Saccharomyces cerevisiae S288C: one gene and its partners. Changing the gene in region 2 together with the main gene of any one other region gives a genetic interaction. Each region holds a gene or a part of one and is shown on either strand. Other genes may lie near its edges. The genes, in order: CCR4, MOT2, RKR1 and BUR2.

Region 1 (4,606 bases), on a different chromosome or scaffold from region 2:
AGCGTATTTTCTCTCTTTTTCTTGTTTACGTTCCTTACTGTAGATAGTCGGGTGTCCACCAGTAGCAACAAACTCGAATATAGAGCACTATAGCACACGCCAGTACTGATTTAAGTTACGTGTTGCATTGCGAGATGGGCTCATGATCTCTTTTAATCCTACAAAGTGAAAAATTATGAAAAATTTCGCGGCGACGGGGGTAACGCAGCCGTTTGAGCCTTGATAATGCAGGCAGATCCAAAGCGCAAGTGATGGAATGTGATCATTAAAGGCTATAACAGGCTTGTATCGATGAGTTGTGTGTATGCGTTTGGGTCTAATGGGCAAAGGCAACTGGGACTGGGGCACGATGAGGATATGGATACCCCACAGAGGTCTGTGCCAGGAGATGATGGAGCAATAGTCAGGAAGATAGCGTGCGGTGGGAACCACAGCGTGATGCTGACAAATGACGGGAATCTGGTAGGATGTGGAGATAACAGACGGGGAGAACTGGATAGTGCGCAAGCACTGCGGCAGGTGCATGACTGGAGGCCCGTGGAAGTACCGGCACCCGTGGTGGATGTGGCGTGCGGCTGGGACACGACAGTTATTGTGGATGCTGATGGCCGTGTATGGCAGAGAGGAGGCGGTTGCTACGAGTTCACTCAGCAACATGTGCCATTGAATTCCAACGATGAGCGCATCGCAGTATACGGATGTTTCCAGAACTTTGTGGTGGTGCAAGGCACCCGAGTATACGGCTGGGGCAGCAACACAAAGTGTCAATTGCAAGAGCCCAAATCCCGATCACTGAAAGAGCCCGTATTGGTGTACGATACCGGGTCTGTGGCCGTAGACTACGTGGCCATGGGCAAGGACTTCATGGTCATAGTGGACGAGGGCGGCCGCATAGTGCACGCATCCGGTCGCCTGCCCACTGGGTTCGAGCTCAAACAACAGCAAAAAAGACACAATCTAGTGGTACTGTGCATGTGGACCTCGATCCACCTGTGGAATGCGCGCCTCAATACGGTAGAGTCGTTTGGTAGGGGCACACATTCCCAACTCTTCCCGCAAGAGCGCCTAGACTTCCCTATTGTCGGTGTTGCAACCGGGAGTGAGCACGGTATTCTAACTACTGCTAATCAAGAAGGCAAGTCTCACTGTTACAATGTATACTGCTGGGGCTGGGGAGAGCATGGCAACTGCGGCCCGCAAAAGGGCTCCCAGCCTGGACTGCAGCTCGTGGGCCAATACTCTGGAAAACCTCGCGTGTTTGGCGGATGTGCCACCACGTGGATCGTGCTCTAGCACTGATAAGTAACTATATACCCACTATCATATACATAGATGTCCATTCAGCATTAATTCTCATCGTGGTAGATCTCAAAGGTAAAGTAGCCGTTTAGGCCTTTTGTTATCGCCCGTACTTGCGAAAAACGGGCCAACAACGAAAAAATTTGAAAAAGTTTCCACCTTAGAGAAGGTTCTCAAGCACAAGGGCACAGCATAAGGGACACCAGCAAGGGAACTCCGACTGACGTTATCCCTGCAAACTACCGCTAATGAACGACCCTTCTTTACTAGGCTACCCTAATGTGGGCCCGCAGCAGCAACAGCAACAGCAGCAACAGCAGCATGCCGGGCTACTAGGAAAGGGTACACCAAACGCTCTACAGCAGCAGCTACACATGAACCAGCTCACCGGGATACCTCCACCGGGACTCATGAACAACAGCGATGTACACACTTCCAGCAACAACAACTCGCGCCAGTTGCTCGACCAATTGGCTAATGGGAACGCGAACATGCTCAATATGAACATGGATAACAACAATAACAACAATAACAACAACAACAACAACAACAACAACGGCGGTGGAAGCGGGGTGATGATGAATGCCTCCACAGCCGCAGTAAATTCTATAGGGATGGTTCCTACCGTTGGTACGCCTGTGAACATCAATGTGAACGCCAGTAACCCTTTATTACACCCGCACTTGGATGACCCTTCTTTACTAAACAATCCGATCTGGAAGCTTCAATTGCATCTGGCTGCAGTGTCCGCACAATCTCTGGGGCAACCCAACATTTATGCTAGACAAAACGCTATGAAGAAGTATTTGGCTACACAACAGGCTCAGCAAGCTCAGCAACAAGCGCAGCAACAGGCACAGCAGCAGGTCCCGGGCCCATTTGGCCCCGGACCTCAGGCTGCACCACCAGCTTTGCAGCCCACCGATTTCCAGCAATCTCACATTGCAGAAGCCTCCAAATCACTGGTAGACTGCACAAAGCAAGCCTTGATGGAAATGGCCGACACTCTCACCGACAGCAAGACAGCAAAGAAACAACAACCTACGGGAGATAGCACTCCCTCAGGCACGGCAACTAACAGTGCAGTTTCTACACCATTGACTCCCAAGATAGAGCTGTTTGCTAATGGCAAGGACGAAGCCAACCAGGCGCTCTTACAACACAAGAAACTGTCTCAGTACAGCATCGACGAAGATGACGACATTGAAAACAGAATGGTCATGCCCAAGGACTCGAAATACGACGACCAATTATGGCACGCGCTAGATTTGTCCAACTTGCAAATCTTCAATATCAGCGCCAACATCTTCAAGTACGATTTTCTAACGAGACTATATTTGAATGGCAATAGCCTCACGGAACTGCCAGCGGAGATCAAGAACCTAAGCAACCTACGCGTTTTGGACCTGTCGCATAATAGGTTAACATCTCTACCAGCGGAACTAGGCTCATGTTTCCAATTGAAATACTTCTACTTTTTTGATAACATGGTCACCACATTACCATGGGAGTTTGGGAACCTGTGTAACCTTCAGTTTCTTGGTGTAGAAGGAAACCCCTTAGAAAAACAGTTTTTAAAGATCCTTACAGAAAAATCTGTCACGGGATTGATTTTCTACCTAAGGGACAACAGACCAGAGATTCCCTTACCGCATGAACGTAGGTTCATCGAAATCAATACCGATGGGGAACCACAGAGGGAGTACGATTCTTTGCAGCAATCCACTGAGCATCTGGCCACCGATTTAGCCAAGAGGACGTTCACCGTCTTATCCTACAACACCTTATGTCAACACTATGCCACCCCAAAAATGTACCGTTACACACCGTCGTGGGCGTTAAGTTGGGATTACAGGCGCAATAAATTAAAGGAGCAGATTCTCTCGTACGACAGTGATCTGTTGTGTTTACAAGAAGTGGAGTCTAAGACTTTTGAAGAGTATTGGGTGCCCCTATTGGACAAGCACGGTTATACAGGCATCTTCCATGCAAAGGCAAGAGCCAAGACCATGCATTCCAAGGACTCCAAGAAAGTGGACGGGTGTTGCATTTTTTTCAAAAGGGACCAATTCAAGTTGATCACCAAAGACGCCATGGATTTCAGCGGTGCTTGGATGAAACACAAGAAGTTCCAAAGAACTGAAGATTATTTAAACCGTGCAATGAACAAAGACAACGTTGCACTGTTCTTAAAGCTACAACACATTCCTAGTGGCGACACCATATGGGCGGTCACCACGCATTTGCACTGGGATCCAAAATTTAATGATGTCAAGACATTCCAAGTAGGTGTCCTGTTAGATCATCTGGAAACGCTGCTAAAGGAGGAGACATCGCACAATTTTAGACAGGACATTAAGAAATTTCCTGTGCTCATTTGTGGTGACTTCAATTCATACATCAACTCCGCCGTATACGAATTGATAAATACAGGCCGTGTCCAAATACATCAAGAGGGAAATGGTAGAGATTTCGGTTACATGTCGGAGAAAAATTTCTCACATAACTTGGCTCTCAAATCAAGTTATAATTGTATCGGAGAACTACCATTCACCAATTTCACACCGTCATTCACAGATGTTATCGACTATATATGGTTTTCTACACATGCTCTAAGGGTGCGTGGGCTATTGGGTGAAGTGGACCCTGAATACGTGAGTAAGTTTATCGGGTTCCCCAACGACAAATTCCCCAGTGACCATATACCATTGTTAGCAAGATTTGAATTTATGAAGACAAACACAGGCAGTAAGAAAGTATAAACCGCACACTTTCATCCCACTCCCTCCCTCCTCTCTGTACACTACCTCATTATAAAATTGAAACGATCCCAATCTCACCGCACTTCCCATAAAGCCTTCACGTTATACTTTTTTTTCTCATCTTTTTTTTCTCTCTCTCTCTCTCTCTCTTTTGCGTATCTTTTTCGTCCTGTTTCTTTCTTACTTAAGTATCTTTTTATAATATTTAAGAGAGCCAAAATTATTTAACCAAACCAAGAATCTTGTATTCTATAACGAATCCTTAATTCTTCTTGTTGTTATTAATGCCAAAAACAGAATTAATTTCCCGAAAAAGAAAAAAAAATTGACTTAAAAAATCATAGGAAAGGATGAATGATTTACGTTACGGCGACAGCTTATCATCAAACGCAAGAAAGCATACCAGATTGCAAAAATGAGTACTAGTGCGGACACTGATACCATCAAGAAGCCAATCCTTGCGGTGCCAGAGCCTGCACTGGCCGATACGCATTCAGAGGAGATATCACGCTCTGGAGAAGAACATGAATCAGAGAACAACGAGC
Region 2 (3,972 bases):
TTACGGGTCTGAAAAATAATATCCAAAAATGTTCCTAATGGAAATGGATAGCGAACAACAACACGCGCGCAAGCTCTTTATATGAAAAAAAAAAATAGAAGAGTCATCAATTACCACCATTCGGCCACAGTTTTTTGATGTAGACTGAGTCATTCGGATAAGAATTCCAACCAACTGCGCAAGAGATTTCGTTGAAAAAATGTGATTTAAGTGAAAAAATTAGCGAAGCAGGTTCCGTGCATTATGATATATATCATGATGATTATTTTCTATGAATTAGTCATTCTTGCAGCGCTGACGCTTTCATACGTTGTAACGAGTAAATAGACTATACTGGTATATGCTATGGCATTATTCATTAGCCAGATACCTTTCCCAGATACCTTTCCACGTCAAAGGTTTAAAAAAATGGGTGAGATTTTTTTTTCTTGCATTTCGTTATAAACGGAGAGATTATATATTCATGAGAAATAAAAATAGATAAAATTATGGTTAATGCAAACAAGAAAAATATTTAGAGTCGGATTAATTACCGGCGATAATTTTCCTTCCGTTGATTAGTTGATTTAGTAAATCAGAGGAATTTCTTGAGCTTGTATCACCCATTTGTTGCTGCTGAATAGGAACCTTATGTTGTGGACCAAAGATACCCGGTGGAGGGGTACTGACGTTTAATGGTGGTTGGATTTGCTGTGAGACGGTTTGCAGTCTTATTGGTTGGGTGGGAGTTTTCGTATTATCTGTGATTGTAATATTGTCATTTACACCAACATTGACACTCTGCAAGAATTGAACGACAGAAGCAGTGTAGTCTATTGGCTTTATAGCCAGGATCTCCACAAGTTTGTTGGCTAATGTATTGTCACTTTTCTTTGAGGCCTCAATCTTGTCCCAAGAAAACAAAGACGGATACTTTTTATAAGTTTCTTCGTCAATAATATTGGATTTGATAGATATAGGGCGCTTCTGATAATTTGATAGAGAATGTAGTCTTGCATCCAAAAAGTCAACAGCATTCCCTAGTGCGTCATAAGGATCTTTGTATTCCTCTGCAGCAAGAGATTGCTTCTTCTTGCTACCATGGGAGTGACTTGTAGCATTGGTATTGGTAGTAGTTGTCGTACTTGTGATGGTATTCTCTGTTGTGGGGGTAGTATGATGGCCCAGAGAATCATTTAATGTTGGCAAGTTTATGGAGCTGCTGTTTTTAGAGAGATTGATAGAGGTTACAGGTGTTGCTGATTGAGTAACTCCCCAAGGATTTGACCCTGCAGGGACCGGAGCAGGTGTTAATACCGGTGTTCCAGCGTTTGTATGGCTGTCATGATGTAACTGAGCCCTCATCGCCGCCGGTGAAGGTGTGCCTGTGAAATTTTCACTTAGTAAATTGGTATTTGAACCAGCGGTACTGGTAGATATATTGTTGTGTATTCCAGATCTAGTGAATGCAGTTCCGCCACTTTGCTGTTGCGCTTGTTGTTTATTGTGGAGTTCTCTTTTATTAAAAGAATCAGCTTCTTCACCAGGTTCATGCAAAAACATACAGTTGGGATTTGGGCATGGCAATCCTCTTAAATAAGAAGAACAGTATTTAGTAGTACCGTAGGCAGCTTTGATCAGGCGGCCATCCATATACGTCCCGTCTACCTGAGCTATACATCTTGCAGCATCGTCCTTGGATCCGAAGGTTATGTAAACGCCATATCCTGGTGAATGATGGTGATAATGCTCGCTGGTTGTGTTGTTAGAATGGGGTGTTTTTCTATTAACCACAATCTTATTTATCTTACCATATTGGCCAAAATATTTTTCAGATTTCAGAGTGGGCGCAACTTCCTCGTATGGAACAGGAGGATTGATGCCAACAACGTACACTAAATTCTTTTGGATAACTCTGGTACCAGATAAATGTTTCCTATTCGTATATTCATTCTCTTTACGTTCTTTTTCTCTATGCTTTCTTTCTTTCTCCTTCCTAGCGAGCTTGGCTCTCTCCATTTTTAACTCCTCCGGAGATAATGTGACGTATCTGACGTTCTCGTCATCATATTTACGACGACATGCTGGGCAACGGCCATTTAATTCTGGATTTTGTCTGATATTATTGTAGCAAAATTGACAAATTTGATAACCACAGGGACAAGGAAAAAAATTTTTATCAGTAATATCCATTGGTTCAATACAAAGAGGGCAATAATCTTCTTCATCCTCCGATAAAAATGACGTATCAAAATTGCTTAAGGCGTTGTGGATTGCTTGCAAATTTTCTTGAACGTGTGGATTCATCATTATGACTGGATTATATACGATACTTTTATTTGGTCTTTTGTACTTTTTATTAAGTTTTGGGATTGTTGCAGAGTAACAAAAGCAGTAATCTATACTATTCGAACCACTACTGAAAACCCTAGGAGGGCTTTTACTGTATGTAGTACACGTCTTGATATGCTTTTCGGAAATTTTGAAAAGAGAAAGCAAAAAAAAAAATCATATTCACACTTACAATGTTACCCGGGAAGAGACGGCAATCAAGTGGAAGTTCGGGTAATAGCATTCATTTTAGAAGCGTCGATATAATCATCGACCAGGTAGTAGTTTAACAATACATTATCAGGTTTCGCGGCGTAACAGTGATACTACTTTATAGCGTTTCACGTCTTCGGGCTCAACATTTCAATAAAAAAAATTCAAAAAGTTGCTAATCGTAAATCATTAAAGGTACATAAAACTACTTATGAATTTGGGAGGTTAGGATTCAGTACTAACACATTCTCTATGACACAACCTTTAATTTGCGCCTACAGGATGTGTTTTGTAATCGACAAATACCATAGCATCTTCATGTGTGCAAACTACTTGAACGTCTATCTTGAAAGGTCTACCATGGTATTCAGTTTCCTCACCGTAATGCCAGGTGATTTTATCAAATGTCTCTTCCTTCGATTTTTCGTGAAATTTAAGCTCAGGTTTCCTAACGGCTTGCTTAATATCTTTCAAAAGATGCTTTTCAATATGCTGGTGCAGGTGACGCACGAACTTCTTAGAATGAGAATTTGCAGCATCACTAATTTTTTCAGGGTCCTCGTGCGACTCGTGTAGCACAAATGGTGGGTAGTAATTTAATTTACAGTGCAAATGATCGAAATCATCATCTTCAGTTTCATTGGCAATGAAAGTTTCAAAACCCTGCAGGTCTTCAAAAACTTTCACGGTTTCACCATCCTCCGTGGTAACCGTTTGAACTTTTACTTCCTTCTTATCCTTCTTTGTCATTTAAAGTGGAGACGAAAACAGTCGATACCTAATTTATATGTTCTATGGGCAATTATTAGAATACAATGCAGAACTTGTCCCTTTATGAAATGTTTTGACCAAAGAAATTTGAACGTGGAAGAACAAAAGATTCAAATATACGCTAGAAATCTTTTGCCTTATATATGTGCACACAATCAAGTAAAGACACTTGTATTTTTCCACCCAGCAATACCCCTTAAGAACGCTGCCCCTTTCATTCTATATTTAATTAACCATACAGTAACTTATAATACCCCTGATTACAGGATGCATTTGTTATGGAAGTCAATTGCCGAGAGCCGTCCACATTATGCTGGTTGCCTCGAGGATATTATTTTTTAGCACATCCGCAATCTCGCCACACCGCATTTCCGTTCCTTCGGCCCCTGAATCTGGGGTAAAAAAAAAAAAAGCAGTCATCTGGAGATTGTATCACCCAAAAAGAAATACGTTTCTGGCTCGTAACAGGTATGACAACACGTTGTCAGAATACCAAAGTTTAGTCTGAACATTTGACTGCGTGTATATCGGAAACGCTGGATTTTTGGTGCCACCTTCTTCGTTCATGGCATATGTGTAAGTCACGTAGGATTAATGTCATCAATTTCATGAGTTGAGTGAAAGTGCAACTTTACAATGTAGTCAACATACTGCACCGTCATCATTACATATTTCAGA
Region 3 (7,201 bases), on a different chromosome or scaffold from region 2:
GGCAGAGACAATATACAGTTTTTGGGTTAATTCTTGGCCTTGTGCTATAGCTAGCACGTCGTCGAATCCTAAGACCTTGTTTGAAAAGAATCGTCCAAAATGGGAGAACTGGCGCCAATGAATAAACCAGACGAAGGTATCACGAACATGTGCCAAAGCTTGTACCGGTACCAAATTATGCGAATGTCAGTCAGTAACAATGTCAGACCCTACTATCAACCCAGATGTAGCTCAAGTGGAACCTACTGTTCTCTCAAGCTTTTTAATAGAAACGCTCATAGAATATCATAGAGAGTTCAATAATAGCGGTATCATAGTTTATCTGATAACGTGCAAACTGTCCTGATCATGAAGCGGAGTTGAATGACAGGGTGATGGAATTGATGGCTAGTTGCTTTCGTATGCCTCGGTATAGGCATGCTAATGACACCCTAGGGTGGCTATTAGTATGTTGCAATGCCGAGAGGAGGTTGAATAACAATACCATTACATCAGCCGATAATATAGTGCATTGTATCAGCAAAATTAAGCAGTCAATTTATTTTTTTATCATTTAATGGCGATGGTTGGATAATTGTCTAAGAACAGTATTGAGTATTGCAATAAACCACTAAGGTTAGCCTCACGGCCAAACTATGTTGGTATCACTGTTACTAACAAGGTGGTTGTGTACGTGAAGGCAGATTGGCCTCAGAAGGCTCTTACCATTAAATAACAAGGCCATTATTCCACTCAATAGCTTGGCACTTGCACATTTGTGTGCCATTTACACTGAATGATTCATCTTTTTGATATCATGCAATATAATAATACAGGTGATAGAATGCGAAAAGCACGGGAAATAGGTGACTTTTGAGATAGTTGTTGAATACCATTTCCATAACAATACAATTTGGACAACATTATCTTATACCGAATATACCTTAAGTTTTACTCGAAAATATAGGAATCCATAAAAGGATCGATGATTCTTCATAATAATATTATGGTTTCTCGTTCCACTTTATATGTTGTCACTCATTATCCTATTGCATTATCAAGTCGTGCGTTCCACCCCCATTAAATTTGATGGCAGCTTTTAAATCTTTACCTTTATGCCATATTTCTACGTCGTATATGTAATAAGATGGATGCTAGACTATAGGGGGTAGGTGGTTCCTCTTCCGACATGTAGAGAATGTGGATTTTGATGTAATTGTTGGGATTCCATTGTGATTAAGGCTATAATATTAGGTATGTAGATATACTAGAAGTTCTCCTCGAGGATTTAGGAATCCATAAAAGGGAATCTGCAATTCTACACAATTCTATAAATATTATTATCATCGTTTTATATGTTAATATTCATTGATCCTATTACATTATCAATCCTTGCGTTTCAGCTTCCACTAATTTAGATGACTATTTCTCATCATTTGCGTCATCTTCTAACACCGTATATGATAATATACTAGTAACGTAAATACTAGTTAGTAGATGATAGTTGATTTTTATTCCAACACGACAATCATGAGTAATTACTTGATAGTGGATAGTAAGTTTTGATAGACACTTCCATTTTAAACTGATTTCACTTTTTACAGTGGCTAGAAATTACAATAAGAAATGGGCGTGTGGCGTAGTCGGTAGCGCGCTCCCTTAGCATGGGAGAGGTCTCCGGTTCGATTCCGGACTCGTCCAAATTTTTTGCTACTTTGCAATTAGTGTAACTTCATATTTAAAATTATAGTTAATCAAGAACAGAATATCGTCACAATGCTCTTTAAATGTTACGTACTTCTTACCTCCAGCTTGACTATATACTTGTCAATTCGAGTTAACCCAGATTATGCCCCAACATGGAAAACTGAAAAATATTGATGAAGCGAGGAAAAAAAACGTCATAGGAAAAATTCAAATGTTGCAACTTCAGATGGTTTTCTTCAATATATACAATACTGAAGAAGTCCTTCTTAATAGTTCAAATCTGCTAAGCCATCAAAAAAAGTTCAAGCAATAGTTGGTTCTTAATGTCGTTTGGTGGAATCAATACATTTCAACAGTATAACACAGATTTAGGGCTCGGCCATAATGGTGTTAGAATATCCTTAAACTACTTTGATGGTTTGCCGGATCCAAGTCTTTTAAACTCCTTGTACTCGAACGAGCTGAAACTCATTTTCAAATCTCTTCTGAAAAGAGATGAAACTACAAAAGAAAAAGCTTTAATGGATCTTTCCAATTTGATCAGCGACTTTAACCAGAATGAGTACTTTTTCAATGACATTTTTCTTCTTTGTTGGTCGCAGATATATGCTAAACTGATAATTAGTGATTACAAGGTCATCAGACTGCAATCACATCAAATTACTATAATGCTTGTCAAAAGCCTTCGGAAGAAAATATCGAAGTTTTTAAAGGATTTTATACCTTTGATACTTCTCGGTACATGCGAACTCGATTATAGTGTTTCCAAACCTTCTCTTAATGAATTAACAGAGTGTTTCAACAAAGACCCAGCAAAAATTAACGCCTTATGGGCTGTTTTTCAAGAACAACTATTGAATTTAGTAAAGGAGATTGTTGTAAACGAGAATGAAGATACCATTTCTGATGAACGTTACTCCAGTAAAGAAGAATCTGAGTTTAGATACCACAGAGTTATAGCAAGTGCCGTATTGCTGCTGATTAAGCTTTTTGTTCATAACAAAGACGTCTCAGAACGTAATTCTTCCAGTCTTAAGGTGATTCTTTCTGATGAGTCAATCTGGAAACTACTTAACTTAAAAAATGGGCAAAATACAAATGCCTACGAAACAGTTCTTCGATTGATTGATGTTCTTTATACAAGAGGTTACATGCCTTCCCACAAAAATATAATGAAGTTAGCGGTGAAAAAACTATTGAAATCGTTGACTCATATTACGTCAAAGAATATTCTAAAAGTATGCCCTGTTCTCCCATCAATACTGAACCTTTTAGCTACCTTGGATGACTATGAAGATGGGACAATATGGTCATACGATAAATCTTCTAAAGAAAAAGTACTCAAATTTTTATCGGTTTCCCGTACTTCACCATCGCCAGGATTTTTCAATGCTGTGTTTGCATTGTACAGCTCGACTAAAAGACACAGTTTTCTTGATTATTATCTTGAATGGCTTCCATTTTGGCAAAAATCGGTGCAAAGACTGAATGAAAAGGGCTTTTCTGCGAGAAACAGCGCTGAGGTTCTTAATGAGTTTTGGACAAATTTTTTGAAGTTCGCTGAGGATTCATCAGAAGAAAGAGTGAAAAAAATGGTGGAAAGTGAGATTTTTAACTCTCTGTCTTGCGGGAAATCTTTATCTGAGTACACAAAACTGAACCAGACTCTTAGTGGCGTCTTTCCACCCGATAAATGGGAGAGAGAGATTGAAGATTACTTCACTTCAGACGAAGACATAAGAAAAATAAAGGTGAGCTTTGAGAAGAATCTTTTTGCTTTATTGGTTACTTCTCCTAATAACGAATCCGCAATTAGTCGTTTATTCGATTTTTTTGTGCAATTAATCGAAACAGATCCCTCAAATGTTTTCAACAAATACGACGGTGTATATGATGCTCTCAATTACTTTTTAGATTCAGATATGATTTTCTTGAATGGGAAGATAGGGAAATTTATAAACGAAATTCCAACGTTGGTCCAAGAATCAACATATCAAAACTTTGCTGGTATCATGGCACAGTACTCAAACTCCAAATTTTTCAAAATGAATACTGACGCGATTACTTCGTTGGAAGACTTTTTTATCGTTGCGCTTTCTTTTAACTTACCAAAGACAATAATTTTAGCCACAATGAATGAGTTGGACAATGATATTTATCAACAATTAATGAAATCAGATTCCCTAGAATTAGAATTGTACATTGAAGACTTTATGAAAAATTATAAGTTTGACGACAGTGGGGAAATATTTAAAGGTAATAATAAATTTTTAAATCAAAGGACTATCACCACACTTTACCGAAGCGCAGTTGCCAATGGCCAAGTTGAACAATTTTGTGCTGTTTTGTCTAAATTAGATGAAACTTTTTTTTCAACGTTATTGCTGAATACCGATTTTCTTTCTTGTGCATTGTATGAAGTTTCAGAAGACACTAATGAGAAACTATTCAAGTTGTCATTACAGTTGGCTAAAGGGAATTCTGAAATCGCTAATAAGTTGGCCCAAGTGATTTTGCAACATGCTCAGGTTTATTTCAGCCCCGGGGCAAAAGAAAAATATGTCACACACGCCGTGGAGCTAATTAATGGCTGCAACGATACTTCTCAGATTTTTTTTCCCGCTAACGCAATCGAAGTTTTTGCCAGATATATGCCAGCAATTGATTATAGGTCATCCTTAGTGAGCAGCTTAAGTACTAACACGCATTTGCTCCTTACAGATGATAAGCCTATCAATTTAAAAAATATGCAAAAGCTCATCAGGTATGCTCTATTCTTAGATGCCCTACTTGATGCTCTTCCAGAGCGCGTTAATAACCATATTGTTGCATTTATAACTGTAGTTTCTGAGCTCGTCACTGATTATAATTGCCTTTCAGAGGAACCAAATGATCTTTACTATGATTTTGGGCATACCTTTTTCAAACATGGCAAAGTAAATTTGAACTTTTCTGATATTGTTGGAAACGTTATTCAGCCTGCTAATGGTGGTGATGCTATGCTTACTTTTGATATTGCTGAAAGTAATTCTGTCTACTTTTTTTATTATTCAAGAGTATTATATAAGGTTCTATTGAACAGCATTGATACTGTTTCATCCACCACATTAAATGGGCTATTAGCATCGGTTGAAAGTTTTGTCACGAAAACTGTGAGGGATCAAAAATCTACTGATAAAGATTATCTCCTATGTGCTATATTACTATTGATGTTTAACAGGTCCAACTCAAAAGATGAGATAACGAAATTAAGGACATTGCTGGCATCTCAATTGATTGGGATTAGAGAAGTAGAACTTGTCGATCAAGAATTCAAGTCGTTAGCTCTTTTAAATAATCTGCTGGATATCCCACAGGCAGATAAACAGTTTGTTCCTATAGCACCGCAGAGACTGAACATGATATTCCGTTCAATACTAAAATGGTTGGATAGTGATCTTGCCTACGAGCCTAGCTTTAGCACCGTTAGATTGTTACTACTAGATTTTTTCACCAAACTGATGAGGTTTGAAGGAGTCAGAGATATGGGCATAACAGCTTTTGAACTTTCGGAAAGGTTGCTGGCAGACTCTCTATCGATGTGTCAAATTGATGACACTTTATATTTGTTAGAACTTCGCTCTTCCTGTTTGAACTTATATGAAACATTGTCGCAAGGCGTTTCCAAAAATGGCGAGGAAATCTCAGAATATGGTGATGAAATTCAAGAAAATTTGATTGAACTGATGTTTCTCAACTTTAATCAAGAAAGAAATAACCAAGTATCCACACTCTTCTACCAGAAATTGTACAAGGTCATTTCCTCAATGGAACTCAAAAAGTTAGAATCTCAATACAAAAGAATATTCGAGGTTGTATTGAATGATAAGGATATCGGTAGTAATATTAATCAATCAAGATTATTAACTACTTTGTTGGGTTCTTTGGTGGTAAAAACACAGCAGGATATTATAATTGAGTATGAACTGAGGATTCAAAAACAAACTGGCTCAGACGTAGATGGTAGTGCATCTGATAATGATGTAAACTCAAAATTTAAACTACCTCAAAAATTATTACAAAAAGTTACTGATGAGGTGCCAAAAGAATACCTTGAATACGAGAATAAAAATTCATTTATTAAATATCTATGGTATTGGCACTTGATACTGATGTACTTCAAAGATACGTCTTATAATATGAGACAAATATTTATTGAACAATTAAAGGAAGCTGGTTTAATCAATAGAATGTTTGATTTCATAACAGATCAAATAGATTTAAGAGATACTGAGTTTTGGAAACAGGTCGACACCAAGGAAATTTCGGAATACAACATTGTCGGCAATAATTTCTCTCCTTATAAAGAAGACATATTTGAAGAATGTAAAAAACTTTTGGGCCATACACTTTATCAGTTGTTTAACAACGTCGGTTGTCTAACGAGTATTTGGTGGTTAAATATAAAAGATAGGACATTACAAAATGATATTGAAAAGTTTGTCTCAGAGTTCATCTCCCCAATTTTGATCAAAAATGAATTTGACGATATCAATTCTAAGATGGACCGCCTGACTTCTAATGATGATGCTTTGACTATTAAATTAAATAATATTACTAATGAAGTGAAGGCAAGCTATTTGATTGACGACCAAAAGTTGGAGATTTCCTTCAAACTACCAAAAAACTACCCTTTAACAAATATCCAAGTTAATGGCGTCTCTAGAGTTGGTATAAGTGAACAAAAATGGAAACAATGGATAATGTCTACACAACATGTAATTACAGGCATGAATGGATCCGTTTTGGATTCGTTGGAGTTGTTTACTAAAAATGTGCACTTACAATTTTCTGGTTTCGAGGAATGTGCCATATGTTACTCTATACTACATGCCGTGGATAGGAAACTACCTTCGAAGACATGTCCGACTTGTAAAAATAAGTTCCACGGAGCATGTCTTTACAAGTGGTTTCGATCATCGGGTAACAATACATGTCCATTATGCCGTAGTGAAATTCCATTTAGAAGGTAGACTATCGCATATAAATTTCATATAAATGTACTACATTTTTTAAACAAAGTTCCTTTTATTATTGTGCTCTCTTACAAATTATACAATCCAGCCCTATACCTTGCCAATCCAGCCCATCACCCGGATATTCTGGAAATTTTTTCTCTTCAGGATTTTTTCAGGATAAAAATCGAACTTGAAAGAAGAATGGTTTTTAGTTCAGGCCTTGTTTTCAGTTTTTAGCTACTAAAAGAGGGATAACCATTGATGAAATTCTATTGAATGTCCCCAATTTTCGGAAAAGGACTGCACCGAAATATTTCAATCAAAATCATTTATCGTTTTGTTTAGCTATTTTTTTCTCAAATTATCACTCTTTTCTTCCTTTTTCATTCTCTCAATTGTTCTTTTTATTTGAGGAAATTTGATTGTATTGCATATACAACTATGCGATGCACTTTGTTCATTTTAACTTTGGATATATGTGCCTTGCTATGAACGCGTTCATTTTTAAGTGACCGGAC
Region 4 (3,723 bases), on a different chromosome or scaffold from region 2:
AGTGAATGTTCTTTTTCATACCAGTTTGCATGGAGTTTGGCCTGCTTACAATCTGAAGAGAAAATTTCATTTCCTAGAGACACGATAATTGGGCACGGTTTACCTTACAAGCCATCCAAATTGATAAGAATTTTCGTCTACAAGCATCCGGAACAAAAGCAAGATCTTGGTCAAGAAATAGCATTGCCCAACTGGAATACCCCTTATCTTCGAAGATGAAAAAAAAATTTATCAATTAGTCTATAATATATGTGTATATACGTCTATGCACCTACCTACTTATAAATGGATATAATATTCTTGCAATGATGAAAATATGTATAGTCAAATTTCATTTTTTTCAATTGATAAATGTACTTTCAATGATGGAAACTCCTTCATCGTCATCGAATTTAGACTTCTGGCAGAATTGGTAAATGAATGGCTTCATGTTTGCCAGATTTTCAGCAATAGACCTAATGAAAGCGGGCAGCTCACTCATTATATCGTACCTATTGACTAATCTTAAATTAGATTCTTCAAAACCACGCGGAAATGAAATGGATGTAGGATATTTCCAACCATTTTGCTTATCCTCTTTTGTAGATGGAAATTTAACAGCATGATCATTTACACTTGACCCGACCTCCAAAATTTTGTCCTTATCACTAACCGCCCATATAGTCACTGTAGTGCTGCCATATTCTTTTGTTGTGGTGAATTCAATACACATCATCGAACGCTTCTCACCATTGAAACAAAGAAAATTCCATTTACTAGCCGCCTTATTGGGTATTAGCCCCTGGACAGCATCCAGATACAACATAGGCGTGTCCTTCAAGTCCAGCTTCACAGGTTTATCGTTTTTCTTGTATGAGATGGTACCATTGCAAAAACCTCTAGGAACAAAAACATGTCTTATCATTTTTCTGGACGTACTAGAAGAGTCTCTTTTTGCTAACTCTTCCAAGCTGATGCTCTTGTCAAGGTAATAATTGGAACCGTCCGGGTTTATTATGAATCCTTCTTGTAAATTTACGGTAATGTCAACCTTCAAATCTTTTAGTAAACAGCTTGTACTTCCCTTCGGAATATCTATCTTAATTAATAATTGAGCAAATCCACTGGAGGAAGAATTTTCCAAAGGTACGAAGTGAAACGTAACATTGTCCGATTCAACTTTTAACGTATCAAAATCTTTGATATTATCAATTTTAAAGCTTTCCCATATATCAATGTCTTCTTCAGAGTTTTCCTCACTGCTGGCTTTAAATATTTTGAAATTTAACTGAAAACCTTTGTATATACCGCCCATAACACTGGAATATAATAGTTGAATTAATCCACATTTGCCGTTGGTGAGATCCGTAAAATACAGAGTTTGTGTCTCTATTCTTGTTTCCGTTGGATTTCTTACTGCTTTTAATAAACTATGTGACTTGAACTTTTTGTGATTTGACGTCCTGCAAAACCATTCTAGTTTCGATGTATCCTGAAATTTAGTATAATTAGCATGATCCTTCTCGGATAAAACTTCCTTAACGGGGGCAAATTTCGTCTTCTCCTTTTTGATCGCAACCGCCATTTTTTCTTTGCTCTATGATTTTTATGTTAATTAAACTGTTCGTTGCCCTAAAATTTTGAAAATTTCTCGAATATTTAGAGAGAATCCGTCACTATTTTAGTATCTATCTTGTCTATTTATATATAAAATCTCATTCCCCTGTTATGGTTTTTGCCAAGCCCTATCCCAAAAAACCAAATGATACATGATAAACCTATTTATCCTCTTTAACAGACCTATCGTTTAAAGCTTTTTTATTGCAAACCCTATTCATTATGGCTTTTTGACCTAGGTCTCATTGTGACTTCTATTTTTCACTGTTCAGTAAAAAAAGAAAAGTGATTAAAAAGTATCACTATTTCTGTTAGAAAGCAAGTAGCTATTTTGATTGGTAATTATATACACATATTGAAGGAGGCCGTAGTATTTTCGTTTAAAATATATTACAGTAAGATAATGTCTGCTACATCTTCAAGTGGTGACGTGAAAAAATTTCAAGCTGTACCAAAACCAACGAGCAATGCATCACCACCACCAGCATCGAGTGGGTTTAACGCAAGGACCCTATGGCCGGATTTGATAGAAACACCAGAAAACCAGTGGGTTTTTGAGTGCAAAGATATTATTGAAAAGATAGGCACTAATGGACCGATAGCAGTGGAAATAAAAAAAAATATGGAAAAATGCTTAATGTACTTTTACACACTTAAAAAAAAATTAAATCTTTTTGATCACACCTATACGGCATCATGCATTCTATTTTACAGGTATTGGTTCATATATGGAATACCTACAGCCATAACTGAATGTATTCATATATCACAGGGAATTCTGGTCACCGCTTGCAAAACAATGGAGAATAATAGGCCTATAGAGGCCTATATTAAGGCGACTTGTGAGTTTTTGATGCAAAATATACCGTCTTTAAAAAGTCGAACAAATATTGATAAACTTAAATGGGAATTTAGAGATAAGTTAGTGACGAATGAAAAAAAAATACTATGTTTATTTGGCTTTGACTTAAATATCAGTAATCCAAAAGAATTGATTGAAGAAGTGTTCAGTGGCTATTATAGATTCAACAGGGATCACAATCTGCCAGAAAACTTTAAAAAAGCTTTTCCAAAAATTCTTCAAGAATCAAGAAATTTTATGGTCCAAGCTGTCACCCAGCCAGTTTCTTTATTGTGCGACGGTTATACGTTCATTGTACTATCTCTCATATACTGTGGTTTAGAGTATAAAAAGCTTGTAGACAAAGATTTCAGATATCCGAAAAACTTCTTCAAGGATAGATTCCCTATCGAAGTAACGCCGGAAAATTTTGCCAATATCTTTACCGATTACAAGTTACTGGAAGAGAATTTTTTCAACTTAAAAAGTAATAAAGGTGCTAAATTACAAATTGATTCAAGCATGATTGATTCGGTGATTGACGAAAGTGGCGATGTGGAAAATGAAGTTTCAGAAATCTCTGATCCGTTTAACTACGAGTTGATTAAATCCGGTGAGGTGAAGGAAGAGTTTTTGAATCATATTGAAACAAGGGTTAAAGATTTACTAGATAAGGCTAAACAAGAAAGTATGAAGAGAAAGGCTAAAGATCCTATAAGAACCCCAGATGCCAAAAAACCTAAAATATAAAAATAGAGTACAAGTTATGTTTAATTGGAGGGATCAGTAAAGGTTTGATATATACGTGACAAAATGTCCGGCAAGTTCCCTATGTTATCCTGATAGCAATATTTCCAATACTCAATCCAATGATCATCTGTTTCTGGATCTTTAGGTGAGTCAAAGCGCAGTTTCTGCTTCAATTTTGTTTTCATCTTGTCTATTATTATTCTGGGATGTCTGAATTGGTAAGTTCGGGGATGATAATCGTCCAGAGATTCTGAACAGTCATTATCTTCGGATATTTTTTCAGCAACAAGTAATTTCCCCTCCATAGCAGTCAACAGTACCTTAGGTAGTTGGTAGTCAGTTACTTCATCAGGATTGTCACAAGCATCAATAATATTTTCGATGATACATAAGCATTCTATGGTCAATTTATCCATTTCAGATGATGCTTCGAATGTGTATTCATTATCTTGCATATAGTATAGTTTTAATACATAAAAAAACTGGATAACTTTAAATTGAACACCTGATGAAAGTAATAAGCCTTCCAGAATTTT

What was found.
Region 1: mutations in MOT2 (region 2) and CCR4 are lethal when combined (synthetic lethality), as found in Saccharomyces cerevisiae (3 studies listed by BioGRID).
Region 3: of MOT2 (region 2) and RKR1, changing one enhances a phenotype caused by changing the other (phenotypic enhancement), as found in Saccharomyces cerevisiae (3 studies listed by BioGRID, with this or other methods).
Region 4: mutations in MOT2 (region 2) and BUR2 are lethal when combined (synthetic lethality), as found in Saccharomyces cerevisiae (3 studies listed by BioGRID, with this or other methods).

What each region holds. Positions count from the first base shown.
Region 1 is NC_001133.9:110,301-114,906, reverse strand, and holds CCR4 (CCR4-NOT core exoribonuclease subunit CCR4), read left to right. Parts: upstream 1-1,547; coding exon 1,548-4,061; downstream 4,062-4,606. Other genes in the region: ATS1 (Ats1p), read left to right, coding at 292-1,293; nucleoside transmembrane transporter FUN26, read left to right, coding at 4,477-4,606. UniProt on the Saccharomyces cerevisiae protein: Acts as a catalytic component of the CCR4-NOT core complex, which in the nucleus seems to be a general transcription factor, and in the cytoplasm the major mRNA deadenylase involved in mRNA turnover.
Region 2 is NC_001137.3:291,367-295,338, reverse strand, and holds MOT2 (CCR4-NOT core ubiquitin-protein ligase subunit MOT2), read right to left. Parts: upstream 2,290-3,972; coding exon 526-2,289; downstream 1-525. Other genes in the region: RGI1 (Rgi1p), read right to left, coding at 2,788-3,273. UniProt on the Saccharomyces cerevisiae protein: E3 ubiquitin-protein ligase component of the CCR4-NOT core complex, which in the nucleus seems to be a general transcription factor, and in the cytoplasm the major mRNA deadenylase involved in mRNA turnover.
Region 3 is NC_001145.3:762,848-770,048, reverse strand, and holds RKR1 (ubiquitin-protein ligase RKR1), read left to right. Parts: upstream 1-2,009; coding exon 2,010-6,698; downstream 6,699-7,201. Other genes in the region: YMR247W-A (uncharacterized protein), read right to left, coding at 623-766. UniProt on the Saccharomyces cerevisiae protein: E3 ubiquitin-protein ligase component of the ribosome quality control complex (RQC), a ribosome-associated complex that mediates ubiquitination and extraction of incompletely synthesized nascent chains for proteasomal degradation.
Region 4 is NC_001144.5:587,355-591,077, forward strand, and holds BUR2 (Bur2p), read left to right. Parts: upstream 1-1,999; coding exon 2,000-3,187; downstream 3,188-3,723. Other genes in the region: UCC1 (Ucc1p), read left to right, coding at 1-219; YLR225C (uncharacterized protein), read right to left, coding at 341-1,564; ADY4 (Ady4p), read right to left, coding at 3,208-3,723. UniProt on the Saccharomyces cerevisiae protein: Component of the BUR kinase complex involved in transcription regulation.